2 linked regions of the Drosophila melanogaster genome follow. The protein of the gene in region 1 interacts with the protein of each later gene in a pairwise test. Each region holds a gene or a part of one and is shown on either strand. Other genes may lie near its edges.

What was found.
Region 2: the proteins of Inx7 (region 1) and CG43732 interact in a two-hybrid assay, tested with the Drosophila melanogaster proteins (one large-scale study listed by BioGRID).

What each region holds. Positions count from the first base shown.
Region 1 is NC_004354.4:6,991,045-6,995,509, forward strand, and holds Inx7 (innexin 7), read right to left. Parts: upstream 2,569-4,465; 5' UTR 2,370-2,568; coding exon 2,136-2,369; intron 1,839-2,135; coding exon 1,129-1,838; intron 1,059-1,128; coding exon 686-1,058; 3' UTR 568-685; downstream 1-567. UniProt on the Drosophila melanogaster protein: Structural components of the gap junctions.
Region 2 is NT_033777.3:18,947,990-18,953,299, reverse strand, and holds the start of CG43732 (uncharacterized protein), read right to left. Parts: upstream 3,105-5,310; 5' UTR 2,697-3,104; intron 1-2,696. Other genes in the region: CG42613 (uncharacterized protein), read right to left, coding at 5,293-5,310.

The sequences.
Region 1 (4,465 bases):
GGGGGCAAGTCAAATGGAAATCGGTCCAAATATGGACTTGGTTATGACAGAGCGGCATGTGTAAATGTCTTAATGCAGCTGGAAGCGTTGACTTCAGAAGTTGAGTTCCTCCTATCTCTGGATGTTTTCGATGAAAACCACTTAAACTTCCCAAAACCATAGAAAATATATAAAACTTACAGTAGCAATAACTCACCTGGAGAACCGTCCGTAATCGGGGATACCGTCATGCACATCTATTGAAACTTCACAGTCAGATGGGAGGGTACAAACTGTGACCCAGCTCTGAACTGAACACTGCAGCTCAGTAACAAACACTTTCGAAACCACAACGGATCACTCGAACTGGGTCACCCAACCGCAGTCGCCACTCGACACAAACTGTCGGCCACGCCCACACGCCCCTCCGAAAGGTGTCTGGTCGGTTTTGGTTTTGTTGTGCTTTTTACCCACTTTTTTTTTCAAAATACCTCACACAAAATAACTGTTTTTCTGTCGGCCATTTTGAGAGATTTTGCTTTATGTGAGCCCCGAAAAAAACCTGTTGGATAAAGCTGAAAGCCGAGTCTCTTAATAATAAATATATTTATAATGAAATGATCATATATATATATAAAAAAAAAACAGGTGTAAACAAGACAAAGCTCCAATAATTAATTGCCTAGCGTTAATTGAAATGCATAAATTATACAGGTAACTTTGCCATATCCGAAGTCGATGGCCCTTGGGCTCCGCCGGCAGAGGGCGAGCCATTGCGTCGAAGGTGCAAGAGTGGTGAATCAATCGTATCCAGACCACTGAGCTCCGGATAACGGTTCTTAGCGGGCGTGGGCGGTGCCTCTCGATAGGCATTGACATCGTTATCGTGATCGGGATTGGGGAACTCACTAGCCAAATGATAGATAACCTTCTTGAATAGGAACTCCGAAAGGTTGGAGCGCAGGAAGAAAAGGAACATCCAGTTGGAAAAGTTACACTTATCAATTACCGCCAATAATTCGTTTTCGTCCAGTTGGCCAGGCTTGGCCCAATAGAGAGACCAGCGGGTAAATGTGACACTAATTAAAGTGGGTTAGAAGGGTTATCACATTATGAAAACATATTTCACACCTATATCCATCCACTCACTTTCTGTAGAAGCACAGGGTTAAAATTCTCCAAAGCAGTCCCAGAACAGTAACAATCAAAAGGAAGGCGTACCAGAACCACAGAATAATGTAGATCTTCTCGTTCATGATGTTCAGCGCCATCACGCAAAGGGCATCGTGCATTTGAATGGAGCCAGAGTCACCAAATTTGTGGAACTTGCACTTGGTAATCTTCGGGAATACTAGATCCAAAACGCTCAGCTCGTCGGACCACCGATTTTTCAGGGCATGTGGTCCCAGTGTGAGGAATTGACCGCCCAAAAAACGGTTGGTCCATGTGATCTGCAGCAGAAGATTAATCAGATTGAGCACCTCCGCGAAGACCAAGTGGGCACCCCACGATTGATTCAGCCGCATCCGGTCGATCATTGTGCGACGAATGTCCTTGACCCGCTCCTCCGCCTCCGCCATCGAGGGAATGTTCAGCTTGCCGATACGCAGACTATCGTTCTTCAGGTACCTCGTTAGACCCACCATTCGAAGGCCAAAGACCAGGGCCTTGATCCGGCCGCCCTCCCAACTCTTCCACAGGGCATGGGGAATGTAGAAGCAGAGAGCCTGGAAGAACAGGACAAAGGGCACCCACTGGTAGTATGCATGCCGCTTGATCGTGTCCTTTTCGGGATCGAATGCCCCTATACCAGGTGGCTCACTTCCCGGCCTGTAGGCAGTTTGGTTCTGGTCACGTACCTATTTGGGGTGCAAGCTATGTTAATAAATGATCTACTGCCGCCAAGGCACATAAATAAAATCTATTCTATCATTTGATCATTTCAGGAATGGGTATGTGGCAACATATATCAACCAACTAATAGCAATAAAACGACTCTAAATCGATTAACCCTATTTAAGTTTTAACCAATAATCAAATAGAGTATTGATAACAGTTGCTCTCAATAGATACTTCTGTGTACCCCGTACATAGATATTTTTTTTAATTCCCTGGTGACCTCTTATAATTTTCCCTTTGTGACCCCGCTGACTTACCACTGTGAAGGTGGGCGTGAAGAAGCAGAAGGTGTTGATGACCGGAGACACAACACCGTCGGATAGGCACTGGATGTGCTCCCCGATGTACTGGCGCGACGTGATCAGGAGGGTGGCCACTAGGAGTATTACGAAGGTCCATCGATAGTGCAGCTTGAACACTATATTGTCGATGACCACACGCGTGAGATCGAACTTGAGGTACTGCCTCACCGAACTGAAGGTGTTCAGCATTGTAACGCCTTCGTTATCTTCGGTTTTGGGTTAGGTTCTGGCCCCGATCCGATCCGATCCGATCCCACTTCTACTTCGTTCACTTTCTTACGATGATTACGACAACTATGGCTGGGTGGCAATTGGAAACGGGCTGGCTTCTGGGTTCGGATGGATTTGTGCGCTCCGCTTGCCGCGGCTAGCTCCTCGTAACTGCAAGGCTCGAGACTCTGCACTTGGTCTCCGGGTCTCGGAACCTTCGGTCTCCGGTCTCCGGTCCCCGTTCGCCGATCTTCATCACCATTCCACATTCGTCGGAGAGGGCTTTCTGGCGCCTTATCGACCGCTCATTTTTGGCCAGGAGAGTCGCCCGGGCCCGATAAGATAACTTCGTCGGGCAGAAATACACGGAAATGCCGAATCAGCAATGGTATTGTGTTTAGTTCAGAGTTGTCCAAGAAAAGAGTAAGGGAAATATGAGAACCTACTGGAGTGCGCTACACTTAGCAGGACTTACGTAGACTATTGGACTATGAGAAAAAAAAAAGAAATTTTTTTCAGCTTCTGACTCGCAGTATAAGCTGAGAGAGGGGCACAATCTTTGTCACTTAGGTTTCAGTCTAAAATGTTAGCAATTTAATTCTTTCAGTGTAGGGCTCTCTTGATACCCAAGAAAACTCCGAAGTTTTTCGGTCATATTTCAAATTTCGCCCAAACATGAGTACTTCGGCATGTATTCGGCTCGTGGCTTCATAAGAATCCGAAAATGATAAGACGAAAGTCACAGAAAGAGCGAAAGAAATTATGAAAATAATACTCATTTTCTCAGGGTTTACCTCATCGGTAAGTTGGCTAAATCTCGCCCTGGTGGGTGGGTGAGTAACTTCCCACCCATCGAAATTCATCCAAGATCCAAGAGCAAAGAGGCCAAGATAACCAAGCAAACAATCATAGGAAATATGAATCAGTGCGGGAAAATATATATGTACATATATGACTCAAGAGATTCAGGATATCAGCAAATTAGTTACACTTCCAAAAACATAGCAAAAATCCCTTAGTGATGCAAGAAATGATCACTTGGTTTTAAGAATAACCATAGAGACTTGCATTGAAATCATTCAAGTGTGGAATTGCAAATTCCGCCGTAATCTGGAACTCTCCGGGTCTTAAAGCGTGCCGCTATCGCCACCCATATTGATTCAATACTGCCTATTCTGATGGATGGGACAGTAATTGGATAAGCGGACATATATCGGCTTGGCGTTATCGTATTGACCCAGATCAGTGCTAGACAGAGGGCTATGTACATACTTACTGAGACTCTTCTTCTTAAGATGGATTATTGCTCGGCTGTTTGCCTTTTTGGCGATATCGTTGCAAGGTTCCACGCAAGGCAATCAGGTGGATATTCACCCTGCGCACTATTGTATTTCATTCTTTGGCCCCGACAATCTTATCTTCCAGTCAATCCCCAGAAAAGACAACGAGTGACTGGCTTACTTACTTTCTAGAATGTAACGGAATTCCAACAGAGATTCGCACTATCAGCTCATAAGTATCTACATATATCTGTTGCTTATCTAAATAGCTCGCCTAGGCATTGTATTTTGGTGCTTATTACTTAAGCGCTCAAGTGGCCGCTCCAAAACTTTGCCGGATAAGATAGTCAAAAATGGCCCCTTTACATACGTACATATAACATTTATAAGTCGTGCGTAACTAGAGACCAGTTAACTATATTAGTAATTGCAACATTTTTAGCCGGTTGACTGCTCGAATTTACCTCTACTTGGGTTTCCCAGGAAATTGCTATGATTACGGCTACTACTTTTGCTTTTGCTTACGCCTCCCAGTTGACGAAAGTTCATTGATTCATGTTCAAATAACAATCGCATTGCTTTATTGGCATAGCCCAGATTTTGATATAAACTGATAGGCCATGCACGTTCTTTTGTCTTTGGCCATTTTGCAATGAAATTTAAATAAAGCAAACCACAATGAAAACGAAATTCGAACCATTCAAGCAAGGCGCTCCACACGTATTACCCTCGGCCACAGATTCAATTACCAGGCATAAGCAATACCAGTCAGTATATCTGCTCATATGTATATAT
Region 2 (5,310 bases), on another chromosome or scaffold:
TGCCTTTCCCCTTTTTCCACGCTTTTCCGCCTGCTCCTGCTGGTTGCTAAAAAGTTTTCACTTCGCAGCCGTCAAGTTGATGTAATGAAAAAGTTGCAGCATATTTTTAACAATATTTTCCCAGCTCATATCACATGACGTGGACACGCTGGCTACTTTCTACTGGCAAAAGCCAATGCTGCTGCGGAAAGCCTTCAAAACAACAAGAACTCGGCGTACAGGGCGCTAATTAGTTTCGAGTCGGCGTTTTCAATGGGAATATGGTTTGAAAAAACATCGCTCATACGCAACGTTGGCCCGCAGCCGCAGGTTATTATTATAATTTTGGTTCGGAATGGTAAAAAAAACGGAAATAAAACTTATTTCTAGCACACAAACTGAAATAAATAAACACTTTCGCTGCGAAAGTGGAGACCACACCCTCCACTCAAAGCCGTTTTGCACGTAGCTTTTCTCGTGAGCAGCCGTCGGGAAAATCGCTTGCAAAAGTGAAAATTGAACAAGGAACCAAAGGCGCAAAGGAAAACCATATGAGCAACGGGTTAGCACTGTGAAAGCGAATCCAGTGCAGCTCATTATAAAATAGCCAACGTAAAAAACCCTATTTCCGTTTTTTTTTTTTTGGGGGGGGGCGGGTCAAAGGTGCTCGCTCCGGACCCGAAAATTCACTTTGAGATTCCAAACAGAAATTTTAACGATGCATATAAAAACCCGGCGACGGCAAATGAATAAATAATTTATGCGTAAAGGTTCCTAAACATTCGAGTGGCTGGGTAACATTATTTGCAAAGTTACTCGTCTCTTCTTTCTTCGCATTTTCCACACGTAGCAAATTGTATCTCTCTATTACCTGGTGGAAGTAGCCTGATTTAGTGGCAGTGCCGCCCACCTTAGCCGAAGAAAAAGAAAAAAGGGTTGAGTTTAAAACCCAGCCAACCCCGCAAGTCGACTTTTCACGGGAGTCCCTTTGGGTTATGTTTGCTTATCACCTGGTTGGCTATCCAAACAAGGTGGAAAACGATTGCGGCCCTCTGTTTGCACATTTGGCACGTTTCAATTTCGCAGCGATTGCCGAACTGCATGCAAATTGCAACTGAATCCCACTTTTTTTTTGTACGTTTACTACTTTGCATATGGCAAAGAAACTGGGAAAGCACTTTCATCTGATGATCGACTGTATGGATAGACATCGGAGTGAGAAATAGTCAATTACGAAAATGATTTTCGTGAGTAATTATTAAATAAGCTGCAATTTCAGGTAGGCAGGCTGACTATAAACCATCGCTTATAGTGAAACGTGAGCGGAATTTAAAAAGGAAAGTAATTTACAAAATGTTTACAAATATATTGAGTATTGGTTAGAATAATTGGTTGCCGTTATTAGCATGTTTATAATAAGCGTGAACGAAAATAACGATTTTTAAACAAAATCGTTTCGTTGAAAATCAAAGTATAAATCTCTTGAAAAATATTGCATTCAATTCAATTAATCTTTTGCTGAAAGTGTAAACGGAAAAACACGTCTTCTGCTAGTAAAACTACAATTTTATTTCGCAGATCATTTCCCTTTTTTTTCGGATCAAACAAGAGTATATTCAGATCTAAAAAATGAATTGGAAGATGAGCAATGCGTTTACTCCTGCCTCAAATCGAAGCTGTCACTTGTCAGTGGCACGCGTTGCAGGAACGGAAATCGGAAAGTTCGCCCGGACTTTGGCTGTGACTCCAATTAAGCAGCTGGCGAACAGGTGAAACAGGTGAGACCCAGCAGAAGTTGTCATAACTGCCGTGGACACATTTCCATCGCCATCACCATCGTCCCTTTTTCTTCTGTCTTTTCCGCATTTATCCAGACTTATTGCTGCATTGCAAACAATACGAGGGCCATGTTGTAAATCCCCCAACAATTGTCTGCCTCCAGTTCGTTTTGTAACCTTTCGTTGCCCAGATTGCCCTCTCCTGTTTAAGGACGTTCCAAGAAAAAGCAGCCAGGGTTACCGATTAGGAATGTATGGCCATTGTGCATGTGAACTAATAACGCATTTGTATGTTTGCTTTTGAAAATGGCGAGTTAGCTTGAACGTGAACTCATCCGAAGGAACATTCGCTCAATGCAAATAAAACCCAATTTTGCTGAAATGAGCATTTTTTTTTTTTTTTTTGGTGAATCGTATGGGCATGTGGACCGATTCCAAGAATCAATTTACATGGCCATTCTCGTTTGGTCAAAGGAATAGGTGTCATAGGTTGATATTAAATGGAAATGCAGCATTGTAAGTGTGGCAATAAATAATTCAATACACAGCACGGAGTGACTTTCATTTTAGTTGTTATACAAGTGAATTCCATTTAATAATTTCATTCGTGATAAATGATTAAGGTATTCTTATTTGGAATTGTTTGCCAAAAAACATTTGCATTTAAAATTGTATACGCGCACAAAAGAGGCATAACTTAAATATTGCAGTGGTTTTGCTGACTTTCAAACATCATTGTTTAATTTTAAGCGAGTATGATGTTTAAATGTCTTTAATCCTACCAAGTGATTCTGCAAAATACCTCCCAGCCTTTTGCCCCGATTGATCACCATAAATAGCCCACTCCACAATCTTATAAATGCCGAATATCTCAATTGTGCACCATAGCCAAGGCAATTTCAAAAGAATATGTAATTCGGTTTCCATTTGAATATTTACGTCTCGCTGCCGAGGGCTTTCTCAATTGATTTGTAATTCACTTTTGTGTCGAACAATTCCGCGTTGAGCTCTCCGTTTGCCAGGCCAGGGTTTTTCTTATCGCCGGGATTGGTTTGGCCGGATTTTGGATTTTGGATTTTGACACCGAAACGGAATGCTTAAGCAAACATTAAAATGCAAACGCACAGGACGAAGCGATAAGGCGGAAAGAACAAGAGACCTTAATCGGTGGTCAAAAGCGGGAAAAGTGCGCGCGTTGCTGGGAAAACTGATTCGAGGCTCCTGTCACACGATGCGATTAATGACGCGTTCAAAAGCTGGTGGCAAGCGGAATCCGGAGCTGAATTGAGCTGGCTGAAAAGCGCGTTGCGAGTGTGTGTGCCGCACGGCCGACTGAAATCGACTGACTACGCTCGGCTGCTGCCACGGCATTTAAGGCAGAGAGTGAAGTCGGAAAATGCGAGGAAAATTCGGAGGAAAAGCGAGAGAGCACGCCGCGATGACATCAAGTGAAAGCTCTGCCATTTGAATCGAGAGACGGCTGTTAGTCCAACGCCAATATAGTACGGCAGCGAAATAAATCAAATTGAATCTATGATTTCGTTTTTGTGCACTTCTTTTTTCTACTTCAGGACCCCAGGACTCCTTGGCGCAGCCTCCTCCTCCTCCGCCTCCTTCTCGAGTGGATCCTTCAAGTTGTTTGCCACCGGATTTCATTTGGCTGCGGCTCAATGAGCCGTCGATTCTGTTTGTTCGAGTGGCCGACGAGCGCTTTAATCGCCCATCCAAAGCCAAAACCAAAGCCGCCACTCGAGACAGCTGGCAGGTGGCAGATTTCAGGTGAAACCCGAAGGTTTCCAGGTGCCAGGCCATCAGGTGGTGCCAAAGCTGACAGGTGAGAATCTTGTTTAACTTCGGCTTCTGCTCATTATGCTCCTCCCGTTTTGGTCCGACTTGGCCGTTTGTGCGGATAATTGCCGCCTTCAATTTAAATTGCCAACGAGCTTGGCGCACCTAATTTTCGATTTCATTTAATTTGGCGCAAATCTCATTAGGGCAAAAACGTCGCCCAAGATAAATGGCAGTGTGTTCTTTTGTTTTTTTTTCTTGCTCTTCGTCCGAGGCATCGAATCGCAGATACTTTGACCTGTGCCTGGGGCACTGGCGTCTTTGACTTTCCCTGCTCCGTCCGGCATGCCAAGTCAGCGATTTATTTGGGCCAAACAATGGCGGGATAACCCAGCAAACATTCACTGGCCAACTGATAAGCGCCAATCTCTTGGCAAATGATAACACCGTTGGCCTGGCAGCGCAGGCGCGAGCTTTTCCACAAGAGAGAGATAACGATGGAGAGAGTGGAAAAGCCAGAGAGCTCTGCCAACTGATAAGAAAGCAGCAGACTTATGCTGCCTCTGCATCTGCGGCTTCAATTGTCTTTAATCGCTGCTCAAATGTCGATGATGTCCTGGGAAGTGTTCTGTGGGATGGGTTGGAAAATTGGAGAGCGGTTACCCCGGGGAGGAACTTTAACGAATTGTCATTGATTTCTTTTGAAATGGCACCGCTTTTGTTTGCCTTCGCTTCTGCCACATTAGGCAGCTGAGCAGGGGGGGGATTCTGCTCCTCTAACTCTGATTACTGCAGCTCTGCCTATCGGGGGCAATGATCACAGATTGAATTTGCTCCGGCGGCAGCCGGTCTTAAATAATTATGAGCGCGTTTAATTAATAAGTTTGCCAAGGCAGCAACAAAGACCTCGAAAAGGGTTCTTCCAGAAATATGCTGTTATTGTTTTTGCGGCCGGGAAGCAATTAAGACCGCCTAGCGCATTGTCTTCTCGGCCTCAGCCCCGTTTGACCCCAACTTTGTTATAAATTTGCCTTTGTGCGTGCTCTGAAAAATGACCAGCCCCTCAAATGTAGAAAAAAATAAATATATATATATAAAAACTGTCACACAAAGAGTTTGAAAAACCGAAAATGAAAAAGAGATAACTCAGATCCGAAAGGGGCAGGGACTGGGGTGCCGGAGCGGATTGCTTCCTTCCTGCCGGGGGACGCTCACTTTTGCCGGTCATTAAATTTTTTTCCATTGCCTTTGGCAGTCGATACATATTTGGCTGCGTACATAAATAATGAGCTCAGTTGTTGTTTGGCCAGATTTGCAAATGTTCTTCGACAGTTTCAATTATTTATTTACCAGCCCAGCCGACGACTACAGTGAGCACTCAGTGGGGTCTTTAAAACTGGCAGGCTAAAAGCCAGCTAGTGGACACTCGAGACTTGCCAATTAGGACGTAGGAAAATTGTTTTACATGAGTTGGTTGAGAGTTACACATTTTTTAGCAGGACTATGGAGGGCAGCAGCAACTTTCACAGAAGTTTAAAGGGAAAAGTGCCATGCTAAACCATTAAAGTTTGATGTGGCTACATTTAGATACTATAAGTCCGGATTCAAATAAATTCATAAAATTCATGAAGACGAAAAACTTCTTCAGCTGTTAATAGTAAACCCATATTTTTAACAATTAAACATGAGGTACATCATGTACTTGTTAAATACTTTGCAACGAATCTAGTAAATAAAAAGTACTCACCTGCATAGAATAAAGGCA